Linked DNA regions of Styela clava. The protein of the gene in region 1 purifies or fractionates together with the protein of each later gene. This does not show direct contact. Links are inferred from orthologs where the notes say so. Each region holds a gene or a part of one and is shown on either strand. Other genes may lie near its edges.

Region 1 (17,285 bases):
ACCATCTCGTTTCCCATACTACAGGAGTACCCATTATTGCACATCCTTCTTCCTCACAGTTATTTTCAAGTAGCAAATCATAAATTCATACCATAATACACAAAGTTCACAATTTGATTCAATGCATACTTGATTTAATGCAGGATCCCAATGCAGATCTTGAAGACCAGTGTTGGATTCAGTGAAGGATGGAAGCACAGCGTTCTTTAATGTATATTCATCTTGGGATACAAATCTCCCCAAAGTAGAAGGACGAAATCCAGCAGGAATCGCTCCCAACGCAGCCAAGACATCAGTAACATCCGTTTTAGCAGGCTGCAAAAATATACAGAAGTAATATTACTTAATGCTTATCTCCATTTTTCAAATATCTTTCATTTTACAGAACATTTAAATCAAAGTAAAAATTCTTAAAACAAAATAAGTGCCGGCAATCTTTAGATTGGTGTTTCTTAATCTGAGCCGGAGGATTTTTGAAATGGGCCTAGAGTTTTTATTTGGCCTGCAGTACCGGTTCTTTATACAAAATTCATTTTTTTTTTAAACTTTATTTAAAATATCTTACTATAATTGGTTAAATAATATTAAAATTTTTTCATCTCCGGTTAAACAAAGTCAGCCCGCATTACTAAATTTGACCTTATCATAGCATATCATTAGCTCCTGATTTAGAATTTCGTTTTAATAAAATTACTTTCACTCTCTGTAATCATACACAAATTAACAATACAAACGTTGTATTTTCCAAAGTCCAAAACATTATTCAATGTAATGAAGGTGAAATTTACACAGCAGTGACAAATAATTGAAACGGATAACATGCAAAAAAAAATCAAAGATATAGATACAAAATATTCTACACATATTCATCAATAACTCATATGTGCAGTGCAAAACGTCATGATCTCAACTCTTATTAAAAAGTGTTTTAAAAAGTGCATTGCTCTTTATTTAAACGAGTGATTTACTTACCAGGAATTATGAATTATGATGAGCAACATAGATGAAATTAAGAAGAAAGCACAGATTTAAATCCAATAAAAAAATACTGATTAATTATTAAAAACTTATTGAAGAATGGCACATGGATTCTCAAAAACAATCAGAATAGCAATTTGTAGGAACTTTGATGATATCAAAGGGTTTTGACCCAAAGAATGAAACTTGGAAAAATAAAGTTTTAGGAAATTGAAGAAAACTTTTTTTTCATCTTTAATCTCCTCTAATTTTTTATTGAAGTACTTTGATGAATATCTTTTCAAACTTTAGTTTGAAAACCAGTTTAAAAAGCATTTATTTGTAATTTTTCCGAATTTGACATTCACCATTTTGTTATAAAACACGTGATTTATCAAACAAGATAGAATAGCAAATGCAAGTTGAAATAGATTTGATGTTGAAATTCCAGATAACCAATTAACCGTACATATTCCCAAACTTGTAATTCAAGATTTAATTATAATATATTACATGGAAGATTATAATTTAAGTACCAGTATTTGAGAATTATCTTCACCCTCTATCATAATATTATTATCTGTTGACAGATTTATCCATTATCTGAAACGACACATCCCATTTAAATATCTATTTTACTTCATAACCAATTAAATATAAACAGATTTCAAAGAGAAATCATGAAACATGAGTAAATTACTCTATAAAATAATTATCATATTTAGTGCATAAAATTAGTGAATGCATCTTAGTATTTCTTAGTACAGTACTTTAAATTTCAAGTAATTCTAATCCATGTCTCATTAGACGAGGCAGCTAGCCTGATCATTTCAAAATAAAAGGAAAACTTCAATCTAGTTTTAATCAAAAAATATGGAAATCATCAGACTTCAAACAGGTATTAGGAACACATAGCCTACAAATTACAACACTTTTCAATCGAGCAATTTTTACTGAAATCAGCTATTCAGCATTTTTGATGATTAAGAGCTAGATAGACGAAGCAGCTACTAAATCAGAAGGTACAACACGAAAAGATTAGGTAATGTAATAAAACATGCAAAAGTTAATGTCATATATATATATATTGAATAAATATGAGTGATAATAGATATTTACCTCATTAACTGCATCTTTTATGCCTTTCCACAATGCTTTCCCACTGAAACGAAGAACAAATTGAAAGTCGCTAATTAGAAATCATTTGTAATGTTTCGCAGATGTACTTATGGTGCTAATTACCTTCTTGTTGGAGATTCACCTTCAGTTGGCGGTTGTGAAGCGGTTGCTTCTCCTGAAAACGTAAAGTTCATTTAGAATAGGCAAAAGTAAAATCACTCCGTTATAGAATGACAACAGTATTTCGCTTTTTATCGAGCTCATAACTAGCCGCTGATGCTGAAATCAAAATTCAAACGTGCATCCCAGGATTGCTAAATTATTAGAATAGGATAGGATTTTCATAATTATCCTGGGGGAGAGGGGAGCTGATAAGGCGGCTCAACCATACAACAAACCTCCCATCCAGCTACCAGACCATGTCGGGTATGGAAAAAGTATGCCACTTATTTGTTTCAGATGCGTGGACTTGATGGTGGAGGCAGTAATTCACCAGCAATCTTCTTGCACATAATTATCCTCCACACAATTCAAATCTATGAACCAGTGCAGGGTAATTAAGGATGCGATCGCAAGTGTATTTATAAGGCACAATGAGTCAAACTTCCCTCATTTTTTTTATTATTAAAAGACAATGCATTATAACCAGGGATGGCCAATTGGAATGTATTCGAATATCTCGTTATTCGAATATCGGAATTAGCGTTCATAAGAATATCGGATATTTGTGTGACGTCACACATTTTCGACGCCGCTTTCAAGACATTTCCGTTGAGTGAAAACATTCTCGATAGGAACTTGCGCGCGATTGCTTTATCAGCGGACGTGTTATTTAGGCCGTAAACGCCTTTACGTTTGTGTTATTTTCTCTAAAACGCAAATTTTCCACAAAGTTGTTCCACGATAACGATGACAATGATTTTATTTTTGTACTCGCACAGTATTGTGAATACGGAGAATACGTACATTGGCGGCGAGTTTTTAAAGAAAACACAAATTTTTTGATTGAAAACGGGCAATTTAAAATACTGAAAATAAAACTGTAAACAAAATATGTTTTATTGAAGCTCGCGACAGTTTAAAAAACGCTTTTCTAGGCAGTGAAAACCGCAAAATTCCCACATTATGTTTGGTCCGCGTTTAGAAACATATCATCACTAATTGAGTCACTAATCCATTACCTTAATTAAATTGCCGTCGAAAATTTTTGTGTTAACATCATACAAGGTCTGAAACGCAACTTTTACCGGGTTGTGAGAATATATATAATATAATTAATCTAAAGTATATTCAATCAATTTTTATTGTGCTGGAATAAATTTTACTCTGAGATTTTACGGCAGATTTATAATCGGGCAGTTCACCACACATTTTTATTTTTATGTCCGCGGATTGCTATGGCATATTAGAGTGGTGAGGATTTTATTTTGTCGACGCAACCGCAGGTTAAATTGAAACAACTAAATTAATAAGGCAAGACATTTGAAATATGCCCGTATCGGCACGAATTAATCACTTTGCACAACAGAAAAATATATATGCGTTGTTATATTATTAGAAGCAACCGCAAGTTACGTTGGACACATTAAATTAATATATAAAGCTATTTTAGAATCTCGTATTTATCATGGATTGAATAATATACGTGACGGGATGATCATTATACGCTGAAAAGACGGTTCTTTTAACGAGCACGGAATCCCGGTGGATGTTACAGACGGCAATGGGAATTTCTGATTTTGAAAATCCTGGCTGCACACCTGGCAGTGGTGGTTATCTATCCTCTAACTTATTGCTAATTTCAGACTTAACAATATGCTAAACATAATAACCACAAACTATCAATTACTTTGTATACATATACTGTTGGTTTGTGGCTTTACCCTGATATTTCTATTGAAGCTTATTTCCTATTTTACTTGGTTTTATAAACTAAAACAAAAATATGTTATTTTCGATTTTAGAATGTATTCGGAATTCCAGATTCGAAAACATTATTTTAGAATGTATTCGGAATAGTTCAGTATTCGGAAATGGCCATCCCTGAATAACAATATCTAACCTGTATCCTCCTGAAGCTGGCTCTCTTCTTCTTCATCATCATCATCTTCATATTCTTGGAGAAAATTTGATGGAACCATCCCAACATTACCATCTTCATCTTTCACTTTCCACCATCCATCATCCCTGAGAAAAGAACGAGACTTGTATTATGGGCACAAGTGGGCGCCCATAATTTGAAATAAGCTATTACAATTTCTTTTTATAACCCTGTTTGGCACGGGGTTGAATTGATCGAACACACAAATAAATCATATGGGCTATTCCAAGTGACACTACAGGACAATTCCAGAAATTTTGCATGTTTTTGGTTGCAATATATTTTCACATTTTCAGCCACATGTTTTGTTTCATTGTCCAATCAGTTGCTTTATTGAATATGTAAAAAATTGCACAAAAGTTACAACCAAGACTTGCTTAGTAGATAAAAAAAATATAGTAAAATATAGCGTGACACTACAGGACGGCAAATCCACCATGCACTAACAGTATAGTATGTTGTGTTGTGTTGTGTAAATTTATGCGATGGTACAGTAGAAGCCCATAATATTTTCTGGTGCAGTAGCTGAACTACCCCTCTATGTGTTGCTCAAGTTACTTAATGTAACACTATAAATCCATGCCAATAATGAGCATATTGTATGTGAAACTACAGGACATTTTTCCACTTCGGAATAGCGGCCTCTATCATCTCTTAAATTCTGGTAATAAATCTTAAATGGGTGAAGAAATTTTCTACAGCACTGCAAACATTTAAACTTTATTAACTTAAATCCAGTGCGTCAATTCCAAATGAAATAACTGTACCTGCACAGAAATCATCACAAAATATGTCAATTATACCAAAATTTCTACATTTCAGGCCATGTTTTATAAACCATCAAAAACCTGGGTGAAATTTTAAATTGTTCGATGAAATGAATGCAGTCCAATAAAATTCCAATGTCTTTTGATATCAAAAATTAAAAAAAATTACTTTCACTACACTTTTAAAAAAATTGATGGAATTCAACTTTGGCTTGGAATGGCCCATATATTACATTACTTTGAATGGAAAACTTCGACTGAAAATTTGATAATTTTGTCAATCTGAAGCAAAATCAAATTTAGCCAAAATCTTTAGTGGAGATATCCAAAATAAATTGATTATTCGAATACCAGTACATTCGACCCTGGATAGAAATGATATTAGATCATCACTGATTGCTACGCACATTCATGGGCTAATAACCGCAAAATAATTGCCACAATGATAAAACAATAACCTACCAGCAAAGATCAATTCGTTCAACTTGGAATCAAAATAGAGTAGTAAATGAGAGTTTGGCAGTTGACTAGTAAAATTACTTAGGATCTGATAGATTTGATAAGTGTAGACGTAGCCTACTAATTTAGTTTTTAGGGATAAAGAACTGCTGTAGCAAATCCTTTCTGGTGCAAAGTATGATTAGACACGGGTCAAACTGGCATGGATATATTTTGTTCATCACATTTCTACCTATTTAAATAATTATTATTGTTTAGATACCTGTTTTGTTTATATTTTGGGTATATCGGACTGAGTGAGAACGAACTATAATAATTACCATTTTTTCTTACATCCCAGATCTCTAGCGATCCTATTGTTATTTTACTTATGTTTTACTTACTGCCTATACACAAGTGATACAACATCCCCTTCTTCTATAGTTAGATCGCCTTCTTGTTCTCCTTTAAAATTATTAAGAACTTCATATAGTTCATCTCCATTTTCATCATCTTCATATTCTTCTTCCTCATCATCTTCTTCCTCCGTTCTATAGCAGGAACAAGAAATGAAAGAAATCGTTATTAAAAACAAAGCAACTTTTAATTTATTCAAAATAATCAAAGCAAATCTGAGTGCCCTTACTGCAAGCCGGTAGGCGGCCAGGCTGGATATTCCTACTCCTGGGAAATCTGTAATGGCACATACAGTAACTGGGTTACCATAACTGCCAGTTTATTTTGAACCCTGCATGTCTTGTCAGGATCCTGTGTGAGTAGTATACTGTGACAATTGATAAAATTCCTAAATATTCCACAGTTTATGAAATATCAAGATGAAATAGGGCTCGTTCTTACATTTTTGCATGGAGGATAGCAATCTTCGAATTTCAATTTTCAACTTAGTTTAGGATAAAAATGCGACAAATAGAGAGTAAATTGGAAATTTTCCAACAATTAACATTTTTACGGTGCTGCCATGAAACCGAACATCTTATGCAATTATGCAACATACACAATTAACTTTTTTCTGAATTGTTAAAATTGGACTTGAAACATTTAAAAAAAAAATAGATTCAAATATTTGTTGAAGTTGAAGGAAAAATTAGAGTGTGGGAATCACATTTTCAGCATTGTATTCTAGCAGACCAGATAATTAAACTACTATTTATACACAAATTATGTTAATGAAAGAATAAAAATGAAAACACTTACTCATCTCCATCTTCAACTTCTTCCTCATCATGAGTGACTCGATTCTGAGGGTGAGAAGATTGAGCGATTGGTTGTTCTTGGCTGTGGCGGAGAGACCTAGGATTCAAATGCGTTTATTATTCATAGATTCGAACCCCTCAATGCATTGCTCGCAAGAGTAAAATTTTTGTGTCATATTTTTCATGTTTCCTTGCTGATATAAATTAATTGAACATTGGGCTTGGAAAGCAAGGGAACATTAGAATCAGACAATACAAAATTCCTACGTAGCGCAATAAAATTTTGGGAGGCAAATACCCCAGGTCTAGTACAGGGTTACACAAGCACTTAGCTTCTCATGTGCCAAAGACAGACAAACCTTAAATGTTCAACTTCACTAGAAGATGATTCAACTTCGTCCATCAATGTATTCAATCGAGCCTGAAAAAAAAAGAAATAAATTTAGTCAATCAGTTCCAATTAACAATCCTGAAAATCTAACAGTAATATTTAATGAAACTAATAGTTTTCTAAAGGCCTTGCCAGAAAATAATATCACAATTCTAAATATGAATGGATTATTATTGGGTTCTTGCTCAGACAAACCTGTAATTGTTGTATCCTTTTTATCTCTTCATTCTTCTTTACATCAAAATTTTGAACTTTTTCATCGAGCTGTAAATGAGAAATAGAAAACTTTTTTGTACTAAAACTGGATTTAAACATATATTTTCGATATTATGCAATTCACGAGTCCTGCTTTTGTTACTTATGTTACAAGTATGCTACCTTTTTCAAATCATGGGCTCTCAATAATAAGGCAGAAGATCTCATTTTCATATCAATGCATGATTTATAATCTTTATTCAATGATTCCACATTGCTCGATGCATCTTTGATATATTCTCTAATGCTTTTCTCGGCAGCATCAATCTGCAATGAAAAAAATATTCCAATCAAACATGAATTCTACTTGGCCAGCTTAAAGTTCAAAATATTTATCATATAAGTCAATATATAAATGTTGATGATTTTGAACACAATAAAAAATATTCCAGAGTATGAATTTTTTTAAATTGCATGCAGGCATAAGAAGGTTAGACTAATTCTATATAATTTGCCAATGTTGAAACGGTAACAAAAAGCTTAGCATTAATAAAACAACTAGAACAATTGTGAATTTACCTCTTTTTTCAATTGATCCACCTCAATTTGTAACTGATGCAGTGGACCTTTCGCCTTTAAAGACATTTTGAATCAAAACCTAAATGACCTCTGCAAACAGTGTATGCACAAATGTCATAATACAGTAATAAAATCGAGAAACAAAATTGTTACACCAAGAAGACCAGTAGAACAATAATAGCATTGATCAAGCTTGTCCAAACTAAAAGCATCCTTATCAAGCAGCTGGCTATAAACCGAACAATGTGTCAATAACAAAATGCCATTTCATTGGTTGTGATGCATGTACAACTGTATAAATTACTAATATAATGAAGTTGTTAAACCTTTTCTCGCCACAGATCATCAAAAGCATGGCAACTTACAGACTTACGAACTTGAAATGAAGAATGCAAGAAATTTATATTATTTAGTTTTAATTTTAACATTTTTTTTCAACATATATTGATATATAAAATTTATAGTTTGAGTAATATAACATAATTTTATACAAGTAAACAGTGCATTTCAGTAATGGATTAACTGTAGGCTATTGAAAGGAAAAGAATACAATCATTACGAAATGAAAATTGAATTTTTAATTGTTTTTAAACTCGGTACGGTATTCTATTACAACATTATCAGCATATATACAGATATAGTTTATTGATTAATTTAATGTTGATTTTACCCAATAACTCAGCGCATCGGTGATAATGCAAACAAAACGGAAGATATTAGCATCAAATTATTAACCGATAATATTATTTTGATTTCTTGATCAATACAAAATAAAACCCTTAACACCAGATTATTCAGTCATTGCACAGCCAGACATCTGCCTATGGCTCTAATAACAGCTTCTGATCCCAGTACTGAGTGATACCAAAGTAGGACAATAACAGAATGATGAATATCTAACTTATATTAAAAACAAATTGAATGTGTGTCAATGCAGCAATATGTACAAATTTATGATATAATTGTCTATAATTTTACTCTTATAATCCAGTAATCACAAGTCTGTGTGCTTGTGTGTCATGTCAGTACAGCAGTACTGCAATAAGTCAAATGCAGGAATGGATAACACTGTAACATGTCGTTGAATGTTTGTTTGTAATTTTCTTTAATGAACCATCATCCGCAAAAGACTTGCCGTTAGTTTTTCAATTCTCTTTACATCTTGTGAATGTTCTGTTTCATACTGCAATCTGACCTGATCATCAGTGACCGTCAACACCAATTTACCATCACAATGTCTATATTTAATATTGTATCTTACATTATAAGGATCGCTCTGATAAAGTCTTTCAGCAGCTTTTGAAAATTCTTCCCAAGATTCAATTTTAGTCATAATACTGGATAAAATTTGAGAAAATGAGAGCAAGTGCGCACACAAACATCCGAACGTAGACAATGCCAAAACAAATGATGAAAATTGCAGTAAAAACAAATGCCATATAGCCTTGGTGTGGAGAGAGACAAAATCATTATTTATTTTTTTCACTTTGAATTCAAAACGATATGAATCTCCATGCTTTCAAAATTGGAAAATGTTGAAATCAAGAATAATTTTAATAATAGATCATATTAAAATAAAGTTTACAACTGTAATAAATAAAGATAACTTATTTATTCATATTTTATCATGTATGACTCCTCACACCCCATAACGTCTCGTATACTGTAGTTGACTGTAGTTGTTACAGCGATTTCAAACTTGTCCAGTTCAGTGGTATGGACCTTTCCCCGACCTTTGACCCCCAGAAAATTTCTTCCTATACTTAACCATGTCAAAAATTTGAAGCTTATTTTAAGAGTGGTTTTTTGAGTTGGCGTCTGTAAAATGGGGCATATGTTTCAAATCATTATTACGATTCATCGCATACAACAATCTGTTTTTTAAAACTACCGGTAAAGAATTTCAGCCTAGTCCATCAGAGCTATTTCTACACTAAATTTTTATTACTGCGATCAAATTAAAACTCCTAGGAAGACAGGGTGATCATTGAGTTATCTGATATATATTCAAATTTCCGAAACACAATTGAAAAGTAACGAATAGAGTTCAAAAACGCGAAAACGAGGTAATGTTTACGACCACGCCTGAGAATCTGTCTGAGTGAGAAAAGTGTCTGAGCGGGTGCGAAAAGGGAGCATTGTTACGTCACTTTTTGCACCTTGCTGATTGGCCAATGTCACAAAGTGAACAAGAAAGTCGATGCTCGGAGAAAGGTCCTACTATGAAACAATCGATAAAAAGACGGTTTTATCTTATGGCGAACCACGGCCCCTCGTCTGTTAATCAGTCCACGTAGGGCAGGGATCGGCAACCCCTTGCAAATTTTCCATGGCACGCCAAGTGAATTGGGGCGCACACACACGTATGCTTCCAATACTTGGCATTTTTGTTAACTTTATCCGAAGTTTAAGAGAAAGCCTGAAAAGGTATGCAATTAACCGGGGCAACTTAGTATTACATAATGAAAAGTTGAATATTATGCCATAGTTAAATTAGTGAAATTATGTTACGTGAATATGTTATACATTTGTAATATCAATTGATATGCTTGCCTTGGATTTTATTTTTATGAAATCAATGAAAGATTTGAACTTGAAGCGAAGTTTATTCATAGTCCCCATCGCAACCGACTTACGGAAGATGTGTTCGGAAGCATGTGTTCAAATGAAAGAGTTCAAATATAGTTCCGATATTACAGAGTTGAGCAAGGAAAAGCAGGAACAAGGTTCTCATTAAAAGCAAGTCTTGTGATTGTACTGGACGTTATCTAATAAAATTTATAAAATAAATTTATCTTCCCTCCGCTTACTATTCAAATCGGTAATCGGGACCGTACATTTGAACCCACGTACATACGAATCCATACATTTGCACCCGTATATCCGCGGGTTCAATCTATATGAAGGTGCTAAAATCCATGGGTTAGGGTTAGTATGGGTTCAAATATCCGTAAAAAAAATCTCCATAGGTGCAAAAGTATGCAGGTGCGATTGACGTGGGTTCGTTCAAATGTACGTGAGTTCAAATGTAATAGAACCATTCAAATCAGGTAGCTGACTATGCAAACCAAACAAATAGAAATGTTCAGTTACCCAGGTATTTTTAAATTTGTTTTTAGATGCACAAACTTGATTATGGAGGAAGCCGTAACCGGCCAGCGGTTACGTGAACCATCCTACGGCGGCGAGGAGTCCAGCAATCCTCTCGCACATACTTAACCCGGCATGAGATTCGAACCGGCGAAACCCCGCAGAAGTACGGTGGTGAGCGTATTCCTATATCGCTTAGTTAGCACGATGCGCCATACCGCCGAGTTCATTACATTTCCTGATCGACGAAGTCCATGTATATAATGCAGTGTTTCCCAACCCGAGTCCGCGGTCTCAAATGAGTCCGCAGAGCGTTTGAATGAGTCCACAACGAGCCAGAAATTCAATGCAGGCCGCAAAAGTTTTTGCGAAACCTAATTAACTATCAGCCAAGTTACGATTTACGTTAGAATTACATAAAACATGAGAAGCCAGTTTATTCAAATAACATTAATCAAGTCAATAATTACCGGTTATTGAGTAGGGCTGGGCATATAATCGCATATTCAACTATTAGAATAGCAATTTACTATACGAGAATTTGGTAACACGTGACGCGACAGGTCACTTGCGAGTCGCTTTATCAAAAGATTGGATTTCACAACTCTCTTGCGGATCTTCGACGAAAACAAGAGTCTGTAAACGCTTCGATAAATACGTAATGAGTGTTTCTCACGAGTTCGAACAACGAGGAATAATTTGTTTTTTTTCTGGTAGGTGTAAATGGTGGCAACGCAAATTTTCTAAATTGAAAAGTGGTCCGCGACCGATTATTAACGCTTTTTTAGACATTGCAAATCGCAAAATTTAATCAAAAAATTAATCGGGCACTTTACCACGCATTTTGGTGTCCACGGATCGTCATGGTATTTTCTGAGTAGTATTGCTCTTATTTAGTCAACACAACCACAGATTAAAAGGATCACACATATGGATTGAATATGTTATGCAACAGAAAAAATCATTGAAAAGTCGGCTCTTTTAACGAGTGACTAGGGCTGGGCATTTTCGAATACCTGATGATTTCAGAATCGAATCAAATATTTTTTTCGAATCGAATCTCGAATACTTGGGAGATATAAAATTGTATTCGACTTTCTTATTGTATTAGATCCTCCAGACACATAGCTCACTACAGAAAATAGTCATATGTCAGAATTGCGTTGAAAAAATATGGCTTCAATAAAAAAAATTGAGGAATTTACCTCGACCATCCGCGAAAAGATAAAAAAAAACAAGATGGCGGCGATTCGAAATTTTTCCCTGAACCGATTCGAATAATTTACTATTCGATTTGAAATGCCCAGCCCTACGAATGACGTATACGCGACGATTCCTTCAGAAGTTTTTCGCGAGAATTTTAAGGCGATGAATATGTATTTTTGATTTACTAATATATATACTTTAAATATATTTTTTATAAATACTAAATTAGGTTGTACATTCTGAAAATTTATAGCAGATTGTAGGATTTTTTCTAACGGCGATACCAAATTCGCAAGATCGATAAAAATATGTATCAAAGCCGAATTTAATCGGGCAATATATTCTCTCATTATTATGTTCGAAGACGACCGCGGAATTTCAAAGAGATGATGCTTACATCTTGTCGTAAGTCGACGCAAGTCACGCAATCGCGAGTTACCATGAACACAATTAAATTAAAATATAAAAGACAATTCTCGTCGTTGTCGTGGATTGAATATTGTGTGACAGAAAAGTCCATTATACACAAAAAAGTTTTTTAACAAACGCGTAATTGCGGCGAATTTCCGATTTTGAAATTCATTGAATTTCTGTTGTGTTTGGCTTTATTGCTTCTTCACACAGAGTATGGTTGCAATAAACGCACCTTGAGTCCGCAAAGGTTTTCGCGGATGAGAAAATAGTCTGCGACCAAAAAAGGTTAGGAAACGCTGATCTAATGAGATGAAATATTGGTACATGATGTATCTGAAGTGTCAAATGTCAAATGTTCAACAGTTACACAACATTCGACTGACAACTGAACGAGAGGACTCGGTTCACCATATATTTAGGTATTTTTATCTGCTTATCAACTCTTGTTGGGATGGCGCTTGTCATTGGTCGCAGTTCACCATACTATTGAGCCGTGTTGTAGCTTGTTACTTATCGATTTTAATCGGTAAGTATGTTGATATTTGTCTGTATTCATCATATCTCGTACCATAAGCCTATTGATTTTGGGCGAATTCTGTCGTAGTATTTATTCGCTTGGCGAAAAATGAAAATATAGCGAAATTTCGGATCTCCTAGGATTCATAAAAAATTTAGAAATAAATAAAAGTAATACCGTTCTAGCGAAATATACAATCTTTAACCACTACATATTTTAAAGCAATTGATCTATTAATGAATAAGAAAAGCGATTTTTTTCATAACAACAAGAAGAAAAATACCAACAAGATCAAGAACAACATAATAGCGAGACAATCCATAAGTGAATTTCGTGTCCAATGTATAAATTAAATAACATTTTCCTGACAGTCGTTGTTTCTAACCTTACTTTATTACCTCAAATTGGCATTATTACACATAAATCGTTTAAAGTAATAAGACGTTATCTATAATAAATTTCAGATCTTTTAGTCTCATAAAAACAAAGTAGCCTGTAGGTCGCTGCTATGACCTGTGGGTATCGATGGTTGCTTTCCAGTTCAACAGAGACGCAATGGTCAGAAAACTTTAAGATGAAACATTCTTGGTTTGAACGACAGTAATACCATTTTGTTTTTCTCCTAGTATATAGGCGGAATCCCCCATTATTATAGACCGAGTGACACATTTTCCGGAGTACAGAGAACGATAATGATGAGTGGAAATACCATTTTGGTGATTAGGAATTTCTTCTAAACCAAGTACTCTACCAGAAATTCTAATCTAACTCTTTGCCATACGATAGGAAAACATCAGGTGTTTTTTCCCCTTTTAGTCGTTCACTGTATTGGTAGGCTACTCACTTGCAAAATTCCATCATTGCTTGACTCATTTTTTTCTTCGTATGACAATAGCAAGGTGTATTTACTCATATCCTTTTAAGGACCTCTCGAATGACGAAGATCGTGAAGCTAAGTTTCTTATGATTTATTGCTCATCGTCGACCTATTTGGGTAATTGCAATGCTGCAAGAATAAGTTGCGGATAGCATATAAAAGTAAACAATGGAAAGGCGGACAATCAGTCAATATTAAACCAAGAACGTTCGCTATACCTGAAAAGAAGATTTAATGTGTGTCATGATGAACCAAAGAAGAAAATTAACCATGATATTTTTGGTTTATGCATTTGGTCTGCCGTTTAGCACTGTCCAAGGTAGGCTTATATGTTGCTTTTTTGTTAACTTTCAAACGATAAATAGTGATATTTGAATAGATTAAATATGAGCATATATATTAGTAAGTCAAATACGATAGTTAATGATTTTGCACGTTTGATATTTCTCACGCTAAATAATTTTTTAAAAAATCTTTCTCAAAGTTCAGGCGCACTCATTCATAAGATACTTTGCTATTTTGATAGATAATAAAAGTCATATATCTTGGAAACAGCTAATATTTTTGTTTAAAGAAAAAAAAGAAAAAAACAAATGTAATTTACTGCATTTCAATGCTCAATATCGTTCAATTTACAGTGCAGTTTGATTATTTATAGCATATCCCTGAAAATTGGTAGTCGGCTATTGAACTGACTTCCAATATGACTCGTTGTTTATGGTGGTATCAATTAACATTCGAACTAAATTACTTTATTTTTTATTATTAGTTGTGCGCCATTTTGATTTAGCCATTGTTACTTTTGATGAAACTGAAACCATTTCATGTTGAACAAGGCTATACATATATTCGTTGACATTCATGACATGTGAGAAGCATTTAATTGCGTTCGAAACTTTACTTGATCTGAAGAGATTTTTCACCAATGATGACTTGGCGCTCCGAATTTCGACTAGAACTAAATAGTAAGGGAATAACATTTCACTGTATTATTTTTGTAGGTAGTTGCAGCGAATGTCCACCATTGTCCAGTTGCATCAATGATGTGTGTAAATGTAGAAAAAACTTCGTTTGGAAAAATCCTTTGAGGAAGTTGGAATGCGTTTACAGAAGAAAACCAAAACCCCGCTCATTTGGAGACGGGTTGCCACCTTCGAAAACAACCACACCACGAATGATATCAATGACAAGTTCTGGAGAGAAATCGTTTGCTATGACAAAAGTCAACACCACACCCGGAAATACAACATTTATCAGCGTCTCAACAAAATCTCATTCAACTACAAATCATAATAAATCCAAAACGTTAGGATTTTGCATTCCACCTTCACCTCTGTGTATAGGAATAATTTTACTTATTCTAATTGCCGTTGCGATTTTGGTGGTTATTGGTGTAATATGCTACTGTAAGAAAAAGATGAAATCAACTTTTCAAGCTTTGCCTTAAACAAATATCATCCGAGCATAATCGGCATTCAGCCTCGACCTTCTGACCACAAGCCTATCAAAAATTACTATTTTTATTGGAAAGTTTAGTTTCTTTTGTGTCATTATAGTCAATTTTTTATTGTAGTAGCAATGAATGATGCTGCTATTTTTCATTATAATCATTAAAGTGAAAGTATTTATTTTGGCAAAAAATAGTCTTGTTTTCTTGTAGTTTTTCCCTTGCATGAGAAAGTTAGTGGGCCACAGAATTTTCATGCAACGAAAGTGGACAACGAAAGAAAAAAGGTTGAGAACCACTGGTATAGGTGAATAAATCTGTACCAACCATATACAAACAAAATTTTAGAAAAGACTATGACAATTGTGTACAGTATTAACAAGGTCAATTTTAATTTGTGACCATATATTCTTCCCGTATTTTTTATTAAATAATTTGTTAAAATTTCTTCATTCTAGTGTTTTTTAATAAAAATTTAAAATGTTGTTTTTTAACTTTAATGGTACAATACTGAATTCAATAGGCGAGGTTTTAGAAGGTTGTGCTATTTTACGCTATATGAGAATTTTTGGTGCTCCTGAAGTATGCGCACCAAGATGTCGAATAACCTGAACCCCAACCTGTACACAATCAGAGTTCAGGTTGTGCGTCATCTTGGTGCGCATACTTCAGGAGGTCCGAATTTTTATTCTTATATCAGCGACACAACGCTGCAAGACATATAATACCAAATATCATCGATGCTAGCTAAGTAAGTAGGTTACTTTGTTCACAAAATATATGCAAATCCAAATTTAAACTTATCTGATAAATATTTATATATCATCAAGATTCAAACGACCAAGAGCATATTTCAGGTATTCTGATGTCCACGCATAAGTCTAGTAACGTGAGTAAAGTGCTTTTAGACCGTAGGCACAAAGTTTGAACTTGTAGGTTGCTGGATGCTTCTCACCTTTTTAGTCTTTTAGAGCAGTGGTTCCCAACCTTTCTACCCTGGCGGACCGATAAAATTTAATTAAACGTACTCGCGAACCGGCAAAAATTGAAATGACAGGAACAGAAAAGGATAACACATATTTGCGTAATCTAATGCAATGTCGGGCACTCAATATGCTTCTAGGCAACAAAGGCACACTTAGAAACATTTCACACGATGAAAAACTATCAAATAATGTGCCGGCCAAAAATTGAAATGGGCGAAACGTAAAATAAGACCATATATTTGCGCAATGAAATGCAGTGCTGGGCACCCAATATGCCGAAGAAAGGCACACATAAAGCATCTCACATAAAAAAAACATGTACATGCCAAATCATGTATAAACACAATTAACTCTAGTGAGAATTTCGCTGCTGTTTCGTTTCCAATATAGGATTGCAAACGAGGTCTCAAAGAAGTTTCTGCAACACGTAACTCTGCAGCGGCGTGCAGCCGATTTCTCTGCTTCGTTTTAATTAAAGCCAGTGATGAGAATATTTTTTGCATAATGCATAAGTAACTGGTTGAAAATGCGGTCAACAGTTTGATTGCTCGATTACTTAGTGATGTGTATTTGTTATCAAGATATTGTGACAGTGTTTCTTATATTACTTCATATCTTACTGGAATATTATACTGTTCTTGACTGTTTTTTTGGTTCAAACAAAGAAGTATGCAGAACGTGTGTGGTTATATTAATCAGGAAAGGCATGCACAACAGAAAAAGAGCGCGTGTCAATTTTTAGGTTTCTAAATCTTGCGAGATTTGATGGAGCGTATTTGTGATGAGTCGGAGACGAAAAAGCGAAAAGTGTAATTACACGGCGCCAAGATGTTGCGAAAGACGTCGCAATATGACGTCGGAAGAGAAATTGCGTAATAAACCGACGCAACCTCATTTTCGGTAAATCGTTTGAGACGACATAAAAACGAGAATATCGGTCGGAGGCCGAAGACTCATCGTCGAAGGTCAGGGGATCCCCCAAAACAG
Region 2 (16,248 bases), on another chromosome or scaffold:
AATCCGCGTCGTCCCTTTTTTTTTGCTTCAGAAATATGGTTAGCCTAGTTATAGTCATAGAAACGTAGAAAGTACACAACTGCCAGACCATCAGCAACATGGACAGTGAAAATTGAAGGCAACATCAATAGTTGCTCTTGAATCCTATCCTTAGGTCAGTTGGTTCCTTACCGTACCCTTATCGTCACATAGTATACACGATCACATACATGATCTACAGGAGCGGTGACTCCTCTACGGCCCATGGGCCGGGGCCACGGCCCGTCTAATCGGGCCACATGGGCCGTGGCCCATAGCTTGATGGGCCGTGGCCCCATCAGGAAAAATTCAATTATTTTGACAAAATTTTCAAATTTTACCAAATTGTCAATATTCGAACCAAAAAAATATATACTCCTGTAGTATGTGTGCCAGGTTAGGGTTAGGACAAAAAAAATTCAGATTTTTTACATTATAGTTCTATTATGATTTCGGGGACTGTCTGTGTTAGCCAAGGGAATAGTTTCTTTACACAACTAGATGGGCCGAAGCCCAATTCGATGGGCCGTGGCCCCGGCCCATGGGCCGCAGAGGAGTCACCACTCCCACTCTACATGATCAGATGACATCCCGGTATCAGTGTTTAAAAAAACAGTGCAGCAACAACAAGTACCGTTACCGTACCCGTACCTGTATGGTATTTGAATCTGAATATGACGGATAAAGCACAGCAACAATTATGGCTTATTTATTCGGAAGCGGCATAGCATACGGTATTCGAATACCGAACACTTGTTGTTGCGTGCTGTTTTTTCATATTTTTGAACACTGATACACACGTTTTGTTCTCCAATGAACACCAGCCCTCGACACACCCACACGGAGAGAGAGTGGTGTTTATAGCGATTTGTCAATCAGAAAAGTAGGTGACTATACCTAAATGTTTTCACTTGTGAACAGAATTTTTCACCAGGATAGGATAGGATTTACATATTTATCCCGGGAGAGAGGAAATCCGATAAGACGGCTTAATCATATGACAAACCACGGTCTCTCGTCCGGTTACCAGTCCAGAGTCCAGGTATGGGGTTAGTTAGCAAGGTATTTGTTTTCGGAAGCATGGATTTGGTGGTAGAGGAAGCCGTAACCGACCAGCGGTTACGTAAACCATCCTACGCCATACGGCGGCGAGGAGTCAAGCAATCCTCACGCACATGACCATCCCCGCATGGGATTCGACGAAGGGTAATCAGGGATGCGGTGGCGAGCGTATTCCTAACGCTTAGCACAATGCGCCACATCGCCGAACCGTATTCATTCAGTCAGTAGTTTATATTTCACCGAAATGAAAGTGCACTCACACTGGACATAAACTTAAAAAAAGTTGAAAATGACATTTCATGGTGAAAGGTGACGCGAAAATCCAAAGTCGGTTATCGAGCAGCGACACCTGTAATCCACCGACACCTGTATTCAGTAATCAGTATTAAAGGTATATTCACAAATCAATGTACATGCGATCTTTTTTCAACAAAAATATAATTTTTGGCCCATTCGTCCAAAAGAGGGCGGAAAGGATTATGGCGGAAACTGGAAAATCGCCATATGATTTAGCCGTCCTATTGGCTTTTCTCTCCCCCGGGGTGATTATGTAAATCCTATCTTATCTTATATACCAGTGGTTCTCGAACTTTTTGAAAAAATGTGCATAACGGCCCACTTTCAATTTTTCTGATGACTAGCGGTTCACTAAAGAAACTAAAGCAAATAGCAACTTGGTATATGTGCGCGGTAAAAATGTGCATAACGGCCCCCTTTCAATTTTTCTGATGACTAGCGGTTCACGAAAAAAACTAAAGCAAATAGCAACGCGATATATCAATAAAACAGTTCAATGAGATGGGTGTCCCTGCTTGGCTCCCACTAGTTCTTTTACCTTGGCCTTGGTTTCTGTTTCGGGCAATGCAACCTTTATATTGTGTCTCACGTTCATTATGTTCCTACATTTTGTTTTAATAGCGTGTAATGTAGAGAAAGCTGCCTCACATCCGTAAGTTGTTGCAAATGGAATGAGCATCTTTTGTGCCATCTTAGCGACATCGGGATAGAACGGTGCCACTATGGTTTTTCTTCTTCTCCAGACCTTATCACAGCAAAACTAAATTTGACATCTTAATTGTTATATCTAAATTTACCTTTTGTGACGGGGGAGGCATTTTTTAAATTACCCCGAGAAAATTTACAATTAGAAGCACACGCCTTCATAAACAATACGCTCTGATTCACTGACGTTGCCACGTTTATTACGTAATAATGTGTTCGGTAGACGGTGTCGTGCTTTGGAGAAACACAAATTTTACTTTAAATCAATCAAAATTGTCCTGCGGTCCCCCTGAAATCGCTTTGCCGACCCTAAGCGTCCGCGGACCCCAGTTTGAGAACCAATGCTATATACGATTCACAATGAAATGGTCATTATTATTGCAACAGCTTAAGCGTTTCAAAAGTATAACAGCCTGGAAGTTCCTATACATTCGACTATGTTTTGTTTGCTTATTTCTGGCCCAAACCTTGTTTTAACTAGGTTTGTGTTTTTTGTAATTTATTTTTCTGTTTGTGCAGGTGGGCGGGCACATGATATTTCCCATGTTTTAAACTTGTTGAGAAGTATTGCTTGCCCTGCAGAATTCTCCATTTTAACTTTCTGTATATTATTGAGTATTCGAGTCTGTGAACGTCTTCCAGTCGGGTGAAGTATTTTTTTAAATTGAGGAGTCTAGGATTCTTCTCACAAATAGGCATAAATACCTAAGCGTTGGATAACATTAGTTATCATTATTTTTCAATTGAAGGCGCTTGAATATCCACAGTTCAAAACAAAATGGAATTTTTAAGTTTTTTTTCATTTATTTTTTGTTAGTAAAAACATGTCAACATTTTAATTTGAATCAACAAATTCTTATATTATGAGGGTCAAAGTTCGACAAAATACATTGCCATTCATGCGTACATTACAGTTACGACAATCAAAACAAAAACAAACAAAATGATGAAAAAACTCTGTAATGTAGGCTATGCTTGTAGCCTATAGCCTATGATGAATAACTAAATCTCATCGACGACAAAGTTTGGGAATATCCAGAAATCTGAATTCAGAACGAAGTCTTTGTAAGTTTTTACGCAAATCCTCTCAAGGCACAGACGGAGCGCTGTTTAAAGGTAACTTATCCTGCTTTTCTTATTTTGATTTTCACTATTCATATGTTGGGGGGAATGGGATTAAATTAAATTAAAGGTAACTTCTCCTGCTTTCCTTATTTTGATTTTCACTATTCATATGTATTGGGGGGAATGGGATTAAATTAAAGGTAACTTCTCCTGCTTTCTTTATTTTGATTTTTACTATTCATATTATGTAGACTATTGGGGGGAATGGGATTAAATTAAAAAACGATAAACAAAAACATGGAAACTAAAAACTATCTATTTATAATAAAATGATTTGATACTAAAATATTAATACGAAAATTCCGTTTGGCATTGGAATTTATTTGGCACAAAAACAAAAAATATCCTGCTTTCCGATATAAGATTGAACGCGATATGGTGGCGTTGGTTTCCATGACGTAATTTTTGGATAACATAGTCAGTTGGGGGGTACAATAACAAATTTGTGATGTAGAGAGAATAAACACCAACGTAAAGGCGTTTACCGTCTAGATACCGACGAAAACAGTCGCTAATTTTAGCAAAGTGCATAATTATACCATTGGCTGGGTGTAGGTGCCTGACTACTGGACTACGGTATGGAATACCGGTATTGATTATTTCAATTACAGTGATACCTCCGCATTTGAACGACTCTTTATTCAAAAACTTGTAGTTGACCAAATGATTTCAAATACAGAAATAGCGATGCTCAAATACATAGACACGAAGGCCAAAACGAATTAGTGTGGGTATGCAATCTATCACGGTATAGTCTACTGGTATACTGCCAATACCTGAATACAGCAATCCTCACAACTACCGCGAAAGCGGAACCGTCACAAGTCTGCAAGTTGCGCAATTTTTAATGACGTCAACGCACACAGAAAACGAATCTTATAGAGCTACAGAAATTTCTGAATTTGCTCAAACGTACTGTAACTGGGGCCTGGTATAGTTTGGTACCACATGCACTTCCGGTGGGTGAAGCATAACGAATTTTGTATATGTTATACCTAACCCCCACCTGACTATGTAATTCAAAAATTATGTCACTACGAGTCTACGATGTCACAATCACGCCATATAGAGCTTGCCAAGTATAGCTACTATCGGACGAAATGGCATCTGCGCCGACCATAAATGTTTCATATTTTTATCTTAATTATGTTCCGTAATCTGTATTACTGTATTATGTACACATTCAAATAATTATCGTTGTTTAGGTACACATTTTGTTAATGCTTTTGGTATTTTGTAATGCGTGAGAGCGAATTATTATAATTACCATTGTTTCCTATGGCAAAAAAGTTACTCAGTACTTGAACAAATCAGTAGTCGTACACCAATCCTGAACGAATTATGCTTCCGTGGTATCACTGTATATGTCTTCTCTATAAGTTGCTAATTAAACATCGTTAAATCGTTTCCTTTGTTTTTTAAAGTGATATTTGTCAGAAGATGGTTAAGAAAGTTATGCCATCATGGCATTCTGTGATGAAAGAATTTAATGATGTTGAACCACATAATGATAGAACAGCTGTGACACCTTCTACGGGTTATCAAGTAAAGATTCAATCGATAACTGGATATCGATCATTGGTGAGCTCATTTCGTGATTATACAGCAGAGCATAGTTTCTCTGTTTTTTCTTGTAATCTTTTCTTTTATCTTGTAATCTTTCATATCTCATATCTTTCTACGTTTAATGTTGTTAATAATCCGTTTGAACCAGAGTTGTGCAACCTTTATTATTGGAGGGCTAGATAGAAATAACTGGGTGAAACCATGGGCTGCACCTGTATTTAACATAGGCTATCTAGTAGTTGCAAGCACAAAAATTTGGTTATTGATCATGTCACATGCGTTGTTTGCATAAGCAAGCTGTTAAGGCATTGTAAAGTCATAGATAAAAAATTCGACTTGGGTATAGGCTAGGGATTGGAATCACTCGCGCGTACCAAATTAAATTTAAACGTTGTTAGGTGGCTCGTACATATTCAAAATTGGCACTTCTCCGCGGGCCACACAATTTTTCCCTCGAAGACCGCATTTGCACACAGGTTGCACACCCCTGTGCTAAACTAAACTTGGTTCATATACTCTTCACTTATTTTGAATCATCATTGCTCATTAATCCATATTTTGCTTTCATCAATATATGTAATACAAGGATGTCTAAATCTAATCAAATACTAAATTATAAACAAGAATAAGGAAGCAATCACATTTTACCTTTCATATATTTCAAGTACAAAACCCATTGAATTTAAATCGACTTCTTTGTTATTAAATTTGACCCAATTTAGAATATTTAAAAATATTATTCTAGATTCAGATTCAGATAGATTTGTAAATTATTTGGTTTTGGCCAGTGGTATTTAAATCATGGTTACCAGGTTATATATATATATATTAATTCTTCAAATTGGGTTGGCTACCAATCACTTTAATTCATTTACGGTAGTATAAGACTTTCTTCTAGTCTAAAATTACCAATCACAATATTCAAAATTTATTTTATATTCCATACCCATCAAACTTCATGTTCAATCTGTAGCAATTTTTTTCAAATATCCACCACTCTTATTCATTCATGCCAAAGTAATATACCGGTAAATTTGATATTGTAGGTGATTTCACAATGTAATGCATAGGATCATTAATAAAGCAATGTAATCCTTTTCATAAGCACATTGTTGAATGTTGGTATTTAATCCTAGATTAATCAACTGATGCTATGTCACTGGAAGGGAGTTAGTGTGGTCAATATTTTGGTACAGAGCACAGGAGTGAACATGTGTTTGCCTTACTTTAATTTCAAAAATTGGTTTCCTTAAACCAGTTAGGATTTGAGGTGTTTGGGTTGTCGAAGGATTTGATTACTATATAAACAATATTACAAGTTTTTATGACGAACAAAATTAGATTTTGTAATGAGAAAGCAACAGAAAATGCAATAATCTTTTAGCTGGATATGAAGGTTCCAAGATTTTAGGCATGATTAGCAATGGCTCACCGAAATAGTGGATTTTCAGTTTTAAAGTCTTTTTCTATATTCATATTCAATGCTAAATATTGAGGTATATTTAGGATGTGTTTACTAATGTTCTGTTTCTAAGGAACTTGTCAATTTGAGATTTATTTTATCTATGCTGGAAAATTTGTTAGTGAAGAATAAAATAAAATAGGCTATTGAAATTGGACAATGATGAAGATGTTTTTTTCCAATTTTTTTGCAATGTAAATATTTGAAAAACTAAATTTTGAAGTTATTGTTGATTATTATTGGAGTTATTCTCAATTAAATATTGAGAAAATCTGTGGAAAATTTTTTTCATTAAATTTTGAGTAGGCTATTATACTTCCATATTTACTTTGACAAGTTTGTAGTCACGCCCTTGGATGAGAAATATTGATATATCACGTACCGACGTACGTACTAGTATTATATCTCTGACATAAAACACAGGATATCAAAGCTATTAAATACCAAGCATTATCATTAGTTTTATAGGTTTAGTAGGTTACATATTAACTTGCCACTATTTAAATTAAATGAATTAAATCTTATAAATGGATATCTGGACATTCAAGATTTCTGAAATTTTAAAATGCTGTGTGAGATTGCTAGCAAGTTAAAGCCAATCTGGATAAATTTGTCTTAATATGAATTTTATTTTATTGCACTTTGCAAAAAAAAAACTAATAATGTGACATCAGAGTTCCATGGTCTTTTATATTTTTGGATCATAACTTTGTTATCTTTAATTAGTATTTAAATTCTTAAATACTCTTAGATCAATATCTAGGTTTGAGGTCAGTAACGCCTTTTTAGGTAATTAATAAATCAAATATACCAGGTTCCAAAAATGGTTTACTTAACCGCGTTATCGGGCTATCAATGTCTTGAACAACCACTTAGCAAATACACTTCTGATGTATTTATAGTGTGGGTTTGTTGTAGTCCAGAACAATGGTTCGAATTCAACAAAGATCGGTTTATAATGGCATTTCTCAAACATGGTAGATGGATACACCACGCTATCATATATGCTTCATCCTTGCCCCATGCTTGCTTCATGATAGACTTTGATAAGCTAAATTTTCGGTACAAATACTACAAAACAAATGGACTTCAAATTTATTATCAAAAAGTGAAATGGACTATTATTACCTATTAAGACCAAAGATCTCAAGTTTTTATTTGAGAAGGAGGCGAGCTGTTAAAATTTTATGGTCATTTTATGATAGCGATATATTTATTAAGGACACCAGGCAACGGTTTTGATTTCGCTTGTTTTTGCATCTAAAGTACACTTGTGGAAAATGTTGTTACGTTTAACCATGCTTGAGATTTAGTGAAGCATAAAATATAGCCTGCTAACCACAGAGTTATTGGTACTGTATTGTTTGTTATCTGCTAGTTTTTAGGTTAAAGTGGTTATTGTGAATGTACCCCTGAAATTTTGACTACAAACGGAACAAGAATAATTGATATGATCAGGCGTGTGACTATAGTTTATTAAGATTGAATATAGTTTTCCGACTTCCCGGAGTTTAGGCAGCGAAGAGACAATCCATATAACATGTAGCCTATATGAGACTTTAATAGTGAAGCTGTTGAAAGTTATTCAGATAGTCGGAAATTAAAACAGTTGAGTGCTCTTATCACAGATTTATCTTGTCATAGGGTAGTGTGTATGGAATATATTATTATTATAATGTTCAACTTTAAAAACTTTGCTCAATTTATATTTCAATGAGATAGGTTGTGGAATACTAATAAATAGATTGAATAATTAATTACGGTATTCAAATGTGAATATATTCCGATAATCATAATTTTTGGATACATTATGGAACCAGATTCTTCCAAAAAAACTGGTAAAACTGATCTTCGTCGGAGAACAGTATCATTTAGACTTCCTTCACAAGATGTATTTGAATCTTATGCAATTTCTCAGCAATTTTACACAATGGATGGTACAGCTCATAAACTGCTAAAGAAAAATTATGAAACTGATATTAAACATTTCTCAAATTTTCGAACTATTGTACGTTCCCCATATAAAAAACGACAATTAACTACGGGTGGATTTTGGAATTTGAAAATACAAGAATCGCATGAAAAACGAAAAAATGTTGGCTTCGGAATTAATTTGTATATTTTAACAAAATTTATAAATGACAAAGAGGTAAATTAATTACTAGATAAGAAATGTGTTCTTGTAATGAAACTTATTCATTTTTATTTTTTTATCATTCCAAGATATAATAATATATATAATATAATATACCGGTATATTAAAATATATGAATTAGGTTGCATGACATTATTTTATTTCTTGAAAATTTGTAATATTATAGACTTGTAGTACATTGTAAGAAGCTAACTTTTGTTTTGGAAATGTCTGTAATGTAGCAGCAGTCATATGGACGGTAATGGACCAGTCCTGCAATGGCGAGGAATGCAGCAATTTTATTTCACAGAATTTTCACCTGCAGGCTTTGTACTAGTGAACCTACGTAGGGTTGTGACTAATGAGTGATGAGACAAAAATGTTATTGGTCTATTTACATTTTACAACTATTGTATTATTGTATTTGAATAAGTTGTTTGTAGTTCATGATGATGCTGTAAAAGCAATATCTTTTCATAGAGTAGCATTCGTGATTATCCATGATGCCCAGAATATCGGGATTTGGTTAATTATTTTGCAATGATACATATGCATGAGCATGACCAAGGTTGATGCCAAATCCAACTGCATCCTTTGACGACAGCGAGTCCAGCAATCCACTGGCACATGGCTACATTCCTGGTAGCGTTCGAACCTACGTAGGCACATAGCGTAGGTTGACGTCGAGCCGAGTATATAAAGGCTATACTCGGTTATTGCTTCAACACACTGGTTTCTCTAATTTTTCGTGGCGAGAGACGACCATTCCACCTGTTTTTGGATTGCGTTCAGCAGATCGTAGAAGTACTTTCTTATTTCAGAATGCACCTGAAGTTTACAGCTCGCAATATGAAATCCGGCTCAGTTTGTATGATGTGGTATATCAACAATTTCTTGGAGAAACTTGGAAAAGTAAAACTATTTCTCCAACAGACGAAGCAATTCAACGTTCAGAATTAAATATAAACAAGGTCTGTTTTTATATTTTTATTTGATGACACACAAACACTTTTGGAAACATTATTTCCATATAATTCATTACTTAAGAATGAGTTTGTATAACAGGACATTTGTCAGAAATATGTGAACTTTTGTCTTTGCTTATCAATATTTGAGTTCTGTATATTTGAAATAAAACATTTGTGTGACACTAATCGCTTCTAATCATTGGGAAAAAAATATATGATTTTATATAAAAATACTGGTACATTAACTGGTAGAACTAGATCATGCAATAGACTGACTGAACCAGTTCATAGCCAAGATTTAAAATAAATGTAGTGAAATTATTTATCCATTTCTAAATTTGGAAATTGTAAGTAATATAGAATTTGCAATAGACGAGTGATGTTATGAAGTAAATCTATCTGAAAAAATTAAAAATTGAATGTTCACCCAAACCGATACTCAAGTAATCAAAACTTATTTCATAATGGTGATCAGGCCTCTGATATTGGTTATTGATATTATTGGTTTATCCGAATTTGATAGCTTAAATTTATAATTTTCTTCAGGTTGTATATTTTCACTCACCGGTCACTGATCCAAATGTAATATTAGTTGTTGAAGTTGTTGTGCATAGAGGTCCGAAGAATCCTTTACCTGGAGATGAATCTGTTACAACAAAACGAACATTGGGATGGGGAATCTTACGACCTTTTAAACCTGAACTTCAATTGAAGGACATCGCTGATCAGATGGCACCTACAGTTAGAAAGTATGATGAAATTGTTCTGAGGGTACATACATGACATGGGCGAACTACGGCTCGCTGGCCAAATCCGGCCCAGGGGTAACTTAATCTGGACCGCCTGATAAGGGGCAAAAATTTTGGCTCTTGGTCCAAAACCTTGCTCACCACTGGTTTATACTGTTCTTACCATTTAACAGATATAGCTATTAAATAGTATAAATACCATTTTTTTTTAAACATGGCAATTTAATGAAAGCGGAAGAGCCAACCAATATTATGATTTCAAGTGGTGATTATCTTGAAAATGGTCTTGTTTGATAGGACTGATGGGAATTCCTGTTGTACGAATGACAGACTTTGGAAGTATGATGTTAATAAACTGTTTACCTGATCTGTTAAACACCTATTCGGGAATGAGTTTTTATTATTAAACAAAATCTTATTTTTAGAATGGATGTCTATCAAGGAACGCCGAGGGCATTACTGTTTATGGGTGATCACATTGAAAGTATGTTTTTTAATTTTATTTTTCTCTGGTTCTACATAATTGTTATTAATTATCTGGTTTTAGAACCAAAGTTATTTTTTGCTTTTGACTGCAATAAATTGATTCCAAGATGACCTAAATATGAAATAATTTCATTTTTTTATAAAACAGACAAAAAACTATAAAAACTTTCTATATTTCCTACATCTAACAATTTTGAATTATGTCTGAATTTAGAGACTCTGTGTTCTTTTATTATCGATTATAAAACAATTCTAATCAATCATGCCTTATCGATAAAATTGTTACTTTCATTTTAGCAAACGAACATATCCAACTGATTACAGGATGTCAACTATCATACACTATACAAAAACATAAAAATCTTCAATCAGTGATGCATTTAATGCCTGATAATGTTTTGTTTTCATCGTATAAATGTCTTCCTGGAATGGCAGAAGCTTTTTCCAAATCTGGCACAGGTACATTCACAAAATGTTTTGTTCAAAGCAATCTCATGATTACCACTTTTAGATGCTTTTAGTCATCAGGGATAGTAGTTGAAGCATCATAGCTAACTATGTCGTCATCATGGGTTTGAGCGTCATGCCCATCACCTCACTCAGGTTGTATTGAATTGATTAGAATAGGTTTTACATATTTATTTCGGGGGAAGAGGAAAGCCGATAAAATAGCTTAATCATATGACGAACGTTGGGTATGGGATTAGTTAGGAAGTTTATTTTCAGATGCAGGGACTTGATGATGGAGAAAGCTGTAATGTAACCACCCTACAATAGTGATGAGCCCAGAAATCCATAATTAGGCAATACAGTGGTTTCTTGTATGAAGACCTTTTTGAGTAAAGTGATGAAAGCATTGTATTAATAAAGGTTCAGTAGAACAGCTTTTCTAGAAGAGTTTTGATGTTTATTTGCTGAAGATTCGGATACCAAAGCTAATCCACTTTTCCACTGCGCGTGTGGAATGAAAAAATATGGGATTCATAATAATACAAAATGTTTAAAATGGAACCATAGGGCATGAACCAAAACAAATAAATTTTGATAATTTTTACATATAGGCCTATTAGTTTGGGAAGCTAGGCAGCTTATGATAAAACATCAACTTTGCCCAGCTAACATATCAGTGATCATATTGCTACAATTTTGCTTTCTCATTAGAAAAATTTCTCTGTTTCGCAAAATCTTGAGTTTTTAAATTTGTTAAAAATTTATTTCTTTCCAATTTACTTTAGCACCAGATCATTATCTGAAACCAAAATGTCTTCCTCATCAAACATGCTATCTTGACACACTTGCATTAAATTTTGGATCAATGTCCGTTGATAAGTTCGAATCACAACTTTGTTCGAGAATAAATCAAGATCGTTTGAAAAAGGACAAAGCTGAAGATGATGGAAAAACTGTCACAATCACTGAAAGGAGATTAATGGTAAATTCGTAAATTGTATCCTATACTTTAATCACAGTTTAAGCAGGTGTATATTCATAACAAGTTAATTATATCGGCATCTTGAATATATGCACCGGTATCGGTTTCAGCCCCATTGTGGGCGCTTCTTTCTTCTGGCTTGCATATATCCTTCCACTTCTTTTAATTTCGGCCCCTGGTCAATCAACTTTGGGAACCACTGCTCTATCACCACTTGCATTATGGAATTCCAATTTTATGAAGATGTTTCTGTTCAAAAAAATATACAATTCCCAAGATTGCTTAGACATATAAGTTTCAAATATCGTTCTATTTTTTTTTTTCAGGTTGGTGTACATAATGGATACTGTTATATTCAAAAACCTCAATTTGCTCAACTAGAACCTGAAGCAATTATGGGTGCAAGGTTGGGAAGTTTTGGACGAGGAAAACGAAAAGATACCAGCAATGTCGCCAGGTGAGTATTCGAAAAAAGGTTTATAGTAAGTATATAGTCAAGGAGGAAAGGTTCGATCAGGCCCTTAATAATTTGACAAATTAAAACATTGGTTATATGTTATCACGTTGGCGGGTGTGATGATCCGGCGGTTAGTCAAAAATTAGGGTTAAATTAGGGCTTAACTGTGTTGGCATTGCAGGTTACACATCTCAGGTTCAAATCCCTTCCCCCCCACCTTACCCAGGCTGCAATGAATTGGGTATGCTGTGCTGAACTGGAAAGAGTCCAGTCCTTCCAGTTAAAAAGTAGCTTCTTACATATGATTAGATGGCTGTGCAGTGGCTGCTTGTTTGGGGCCGTATTTGGAGCGAATCACATCGATTTGGAGCGAACCACATATTTTATGTTATAATAAGTTATATCTTCACTTGTATAAAACCTCAAAAATACGTAAGGCAATTCTTGTTTTTTAAATTACTTGTGTCTACAGCACTGTCAAAATTAGCAAACGCTTTGATAAATAATTATTTTATGTTTGGAGATTACAATTTGAAAACATCGTTAAATGAAATGAAGGGCATTAGTGTCAAGTTGGTTGAAATCAGAAACTTATAAAATGTGTAAATAACCTGTATAGTTCAACTATTTTAGTCCTTGTAAGAGGAAATTTACTGACCTGGACTTTGATTCTAGGTAATAAAGGAGTGTCGTGTGACTAGACTTGTTGTGAAATTGATATTTCAATAGTTGACTGATCTGGAATATTGTATTGGCCAATATACAGACTTTTATACTAGCTGAATTAGGACATGCCTTGACAGCCTGAATCATTCTAATAATATTTCTTTCAGCACTGAATCAACATGTCTAGTACTTCGAAGTCGAGTACAATTAGATGAGATGGTAGTGGATCCTGGACTTGCGGTAGTTATGCAAATTGAATATTTATTCGCTCTTCCTTATACTTCACAAGCTGTTGTTAAAGGTAATTTTATAACAAAAATATGTTGTAATAAGATAAGATTAATTCGATAACTTGACTATGCTGTTAGAGTTGATCCTCAAGTCTTGGCTTCAATTCGACTGCCAACAAATTTGATGTAATTTGATTTGAGAGAATTTAATTTGAGTTATATGGATTAAACATTATATTGCAACGCAATGTTTCAATTGTCAGAGAATTGGACCTAACTATGCAAGAATCACGGGTTAAAAATTTAAAATTCTCAAGTTTTTTTTTTAAAGTTAATACTGAACTAGGAGGAAACAATTTTCTTGTTGGTGGTTGTTGTATACATCCTTGTTCAAAGTGAAGTGTGAAATCGGCTCAGAAGTGAAACTTTTATTTCTTTACTATAGGATCAGCAGGATCGATACGTTCTCAGCCTCTTTCAATGTCAGTCAGATGGACAGCTTGGTGCCCATTCGCCCAACAGTCTACAGATAATTTTATAACATTGACATTACAGGTGAACATTTTATTTCTCACTTTTGAAATTTAATATTTCAACCAAATACCTACTTTGGCTCAAGCTATTAAGCTTGGATTTCTTATTATTTTTTGATGTAGTATGCAACATCCGATACCTATACCTTTGAAGCACTCTTCGCACAAACTGCAAAATTCAATGCAATGAATGGTTTATTTGCTATTGACAGTTGACACTAACCCATATTCTTGATTGATATCTTTAATCAGAGGTAATATAGGTTGTCCATAAAGTCTTAAAATTTTTTGGCAATTGCAAAGGGAGTTTATCGATACCATTCATCGTTGGCACTTTTGTATTGAAGAAGTAAAAATACTTAAAAAAAATTACTGATTAAAAAACAACAAACCCGGTTAAGATATGTTAAGAACTAACTTCATAACAAAATTGAAATTGTGAAGGGACTTCATGGACACCCTGTTTACTCGTATTAATTGCGGCATTTTTTATTTATTTCTTCTAGGGAGGAATGGAAAAGAATCCGGACAATGTTTTGTTTTATACAAGTAATATTTTGACCGATCAACAAAACGCAGAGATGGGGAAACTGAGGTAATGTTGTTTCAAATGGTTCGAAACTTTGAGAGACCTTTACTACATTGGTGTTGCTAGTTATCTGTCCATATCTATCCGTCCCCCCAGCCAAATATAATGGATCTTTTCATTTCAGTGGCTTTTTGAAGCAGAGTTTTGAAACTGGGCCCTTGGCTCTCCTAGGGGCCATGGACTATGAATGTAATAATAATAATCTTTATTTGTTCATTTACCTGACTGTAATGCATTTATTTTCTTTGCGTCTGTTTGTAGACTTGTGGCATGGCCCATAAAATACCTGATGAAAACTCGTTAGAATTACAATTAGGAATTTCATAGAAGAGCCGGGAGCTTTCAATACTGAGTCTATGAAAGAGGACCACAGACTGGTGTAAATTATTGTTTTATTGAACACAAGCGATACTTATAAGCAGTTCAGTTATCACCACAAATAACAAAATATAAAGTCAGACATAAGACACATGTCGCCTCTGTTTTACCAAAGTATTGAATGACTCTGGAGACCAGCAGGACAGTCTTTTTACCCAGGAAGCATGCTTCAGTGGTTTTACCCACAATGCCATTGCATCCTGCTGACCATCGGTCAGTTAAAGAGTGGGAAATAGAATCAAAGCACAGTTATCCCTGGAAGACAATCACCTGGACAAAATGTAAATGAGAACACACAAGTTAACATGTGAAGTTTTATTTAAAATGAAGGTGTAGAAAACTCATCTAAATCTCATTAAAAAAAATAGATATAGGTGAAAATTATCTCCTCTGTATACTTTTAATCAACATGTAAGAAAATTGCATTATTAACCCAGATTTCTTTTTTCAGGTTTAGATTTTTAACTTCTGATTCACCAATACAATCGGATAGTTCCATCTATATAACATCAGGATCTGAAGTTCCTCGTTCACCGAATGTGTCTGCTAAACCTCCTCTACCTAGTAGTTCTCCTATGATAGCAAGAATACCGTCTTCAATTGTTAGTATTGAGAATTTTTTATTTACCCAATATTTTTTGGTACATCTATTATTTTTTAATTTATTAACCCAAATTCACTTTAAAAATGATTAATTTTCGTTTTGTGTGGTATAAATATGAAAGAATGGAATTTGCAGATGCAGCTAAAGGTTGGTTATTCATGTAGCCTAAAGTCCTAGTAAATGATTCATTTATTTTGGGTGAGGAAATCAGATAAGACCTTTTGTATCTAAATTCTGTTTTTGCCATGTCCACTGCACAATTTAGTTTTGTATTCTAGCATATCACATTTGTGCTTCAGTAAGTTCATTAGTTTTCATCATTTTAAGTTATTTAATACATAAAATAAAATTTTTATCAGAACTTATTTACAGACAACTACTGTCATATTTCATTGAACTAGATTCATTAGAATGTTATGGCCCTGTGCAAGTTCAGTGCAAATTCTAGCTATGTTGGACACAAACTATCACCGTATCTATTTAGTAAATACAAAGCTGGTTTCAAAACTCTTCAATCAATGAACTGCACTTCTATCTCAATGACATCAATCTATCTCAATGACATCAAAAGTAGCAAGCAAGCTATCGTACAACCATCCAAACACTAAGAAGCTGACAGCTATACAAGCTGGAAGTTTTCCAGTAAAATGAAAATTTGGCCGATATTTTTTCAAACATTTTCAGTGCAATACAATTTGGATGACTGAAACTTCTTGTTGTCTCTAAAATATAAAATCTGGATGTACTAGGGCAGGGGTGTGCAACCTCCCAAATGCGGCCCTCAAGG

The links.
Region 2: the proteins of nephrocystin-1-like (region 1) and nephrocystin-4-like purify together in Homo sapiens (co-immunoprecipitation; 6 studies listed by BioGRID and IntAct, with this or other methods). This does not show direct contact. The link is inferred for Styela clava from reciprocal best matches to the Homo sapiens genes NPHP1 and NPHP4.

What each region holds. Positions count from the first base shown.
Region 1 is NC_135251.1:26,438,787-26,456,071, reverse strand, and holds the start of nephrocystin-1-like, read right to left. Parts: upstream 8,872-17,285; 5' UTR 7,828-8,871; coding exon 7,762-7,827; intron 7,510-7,761; coding exon 7,366-7,509; intron 7,252-7,365; coding exon 7,183-7,251; intron 7,018-7,182; coding exon 6,956-7,017; intron 6,694-6,955; coding exon 6,598-6,693; intron 5,934-6,597; coding exon 5,787-5,933; intron 4,264-5,786; coding exon 4,139-4,263; intron 2,252-4,138; coding exon 2,200-2,251; intron 2,120-2,199; coding exon 2,077-2,119; intron 316-2,076; coding exon 130-315; intron 1-129. Other genes in the region: uncharacterized protein LOC120336336, read left to right, coding at 14,100-14,184, 14,867-15,312. UniProt on the Homo sapiens protein: Together with BCAR1 it may play a role in the control of epithelial cell polarity. Involved in the organization of apical junctions in kidney cells together with NPHP4 and RPGRIP1L/NPHP8. Does not seem to be strictly required for ciliogenesis.
Region 2 is NC_135256.1:22,123,812-22,140,059, reverse strand, and holds the start of nephrocystin-4-like, read left to right. Parts: upstream 1-8,017; 5' UTR 8,018-8,045; coding exon 8,046-8,384; intron 8,385-9,190; coding exon 9,191-9,340; intron 9,341-9,883; coding exon 9,884-10,086; intron 10,087-10,511; coding exon 10,512-10,570; intron 10,571-10,869; coding exon 10,870-11,031; intron 11,032-11,807; coding exon 11,808-12,004; intron 12,005-12,330; coding exon 12,331-12,461; intron 12,462-13,294; coding exon 13,295-13,428; intron 13,429-13,802; coding exon 13,803-13,912; intron 13,913-14,396; coding exon 14,397-14,485; intron 14,486-15,308; coding exon 15,309-15,459; intron 15,460-16,248. UniProt on the Homo sapiens protein: Involved in the organization of apical junctions; the function is proposed to implicate a NPHP1-4-8 module. Does not seem to be strictly required for ciliogenesis. Required for building functional cilia.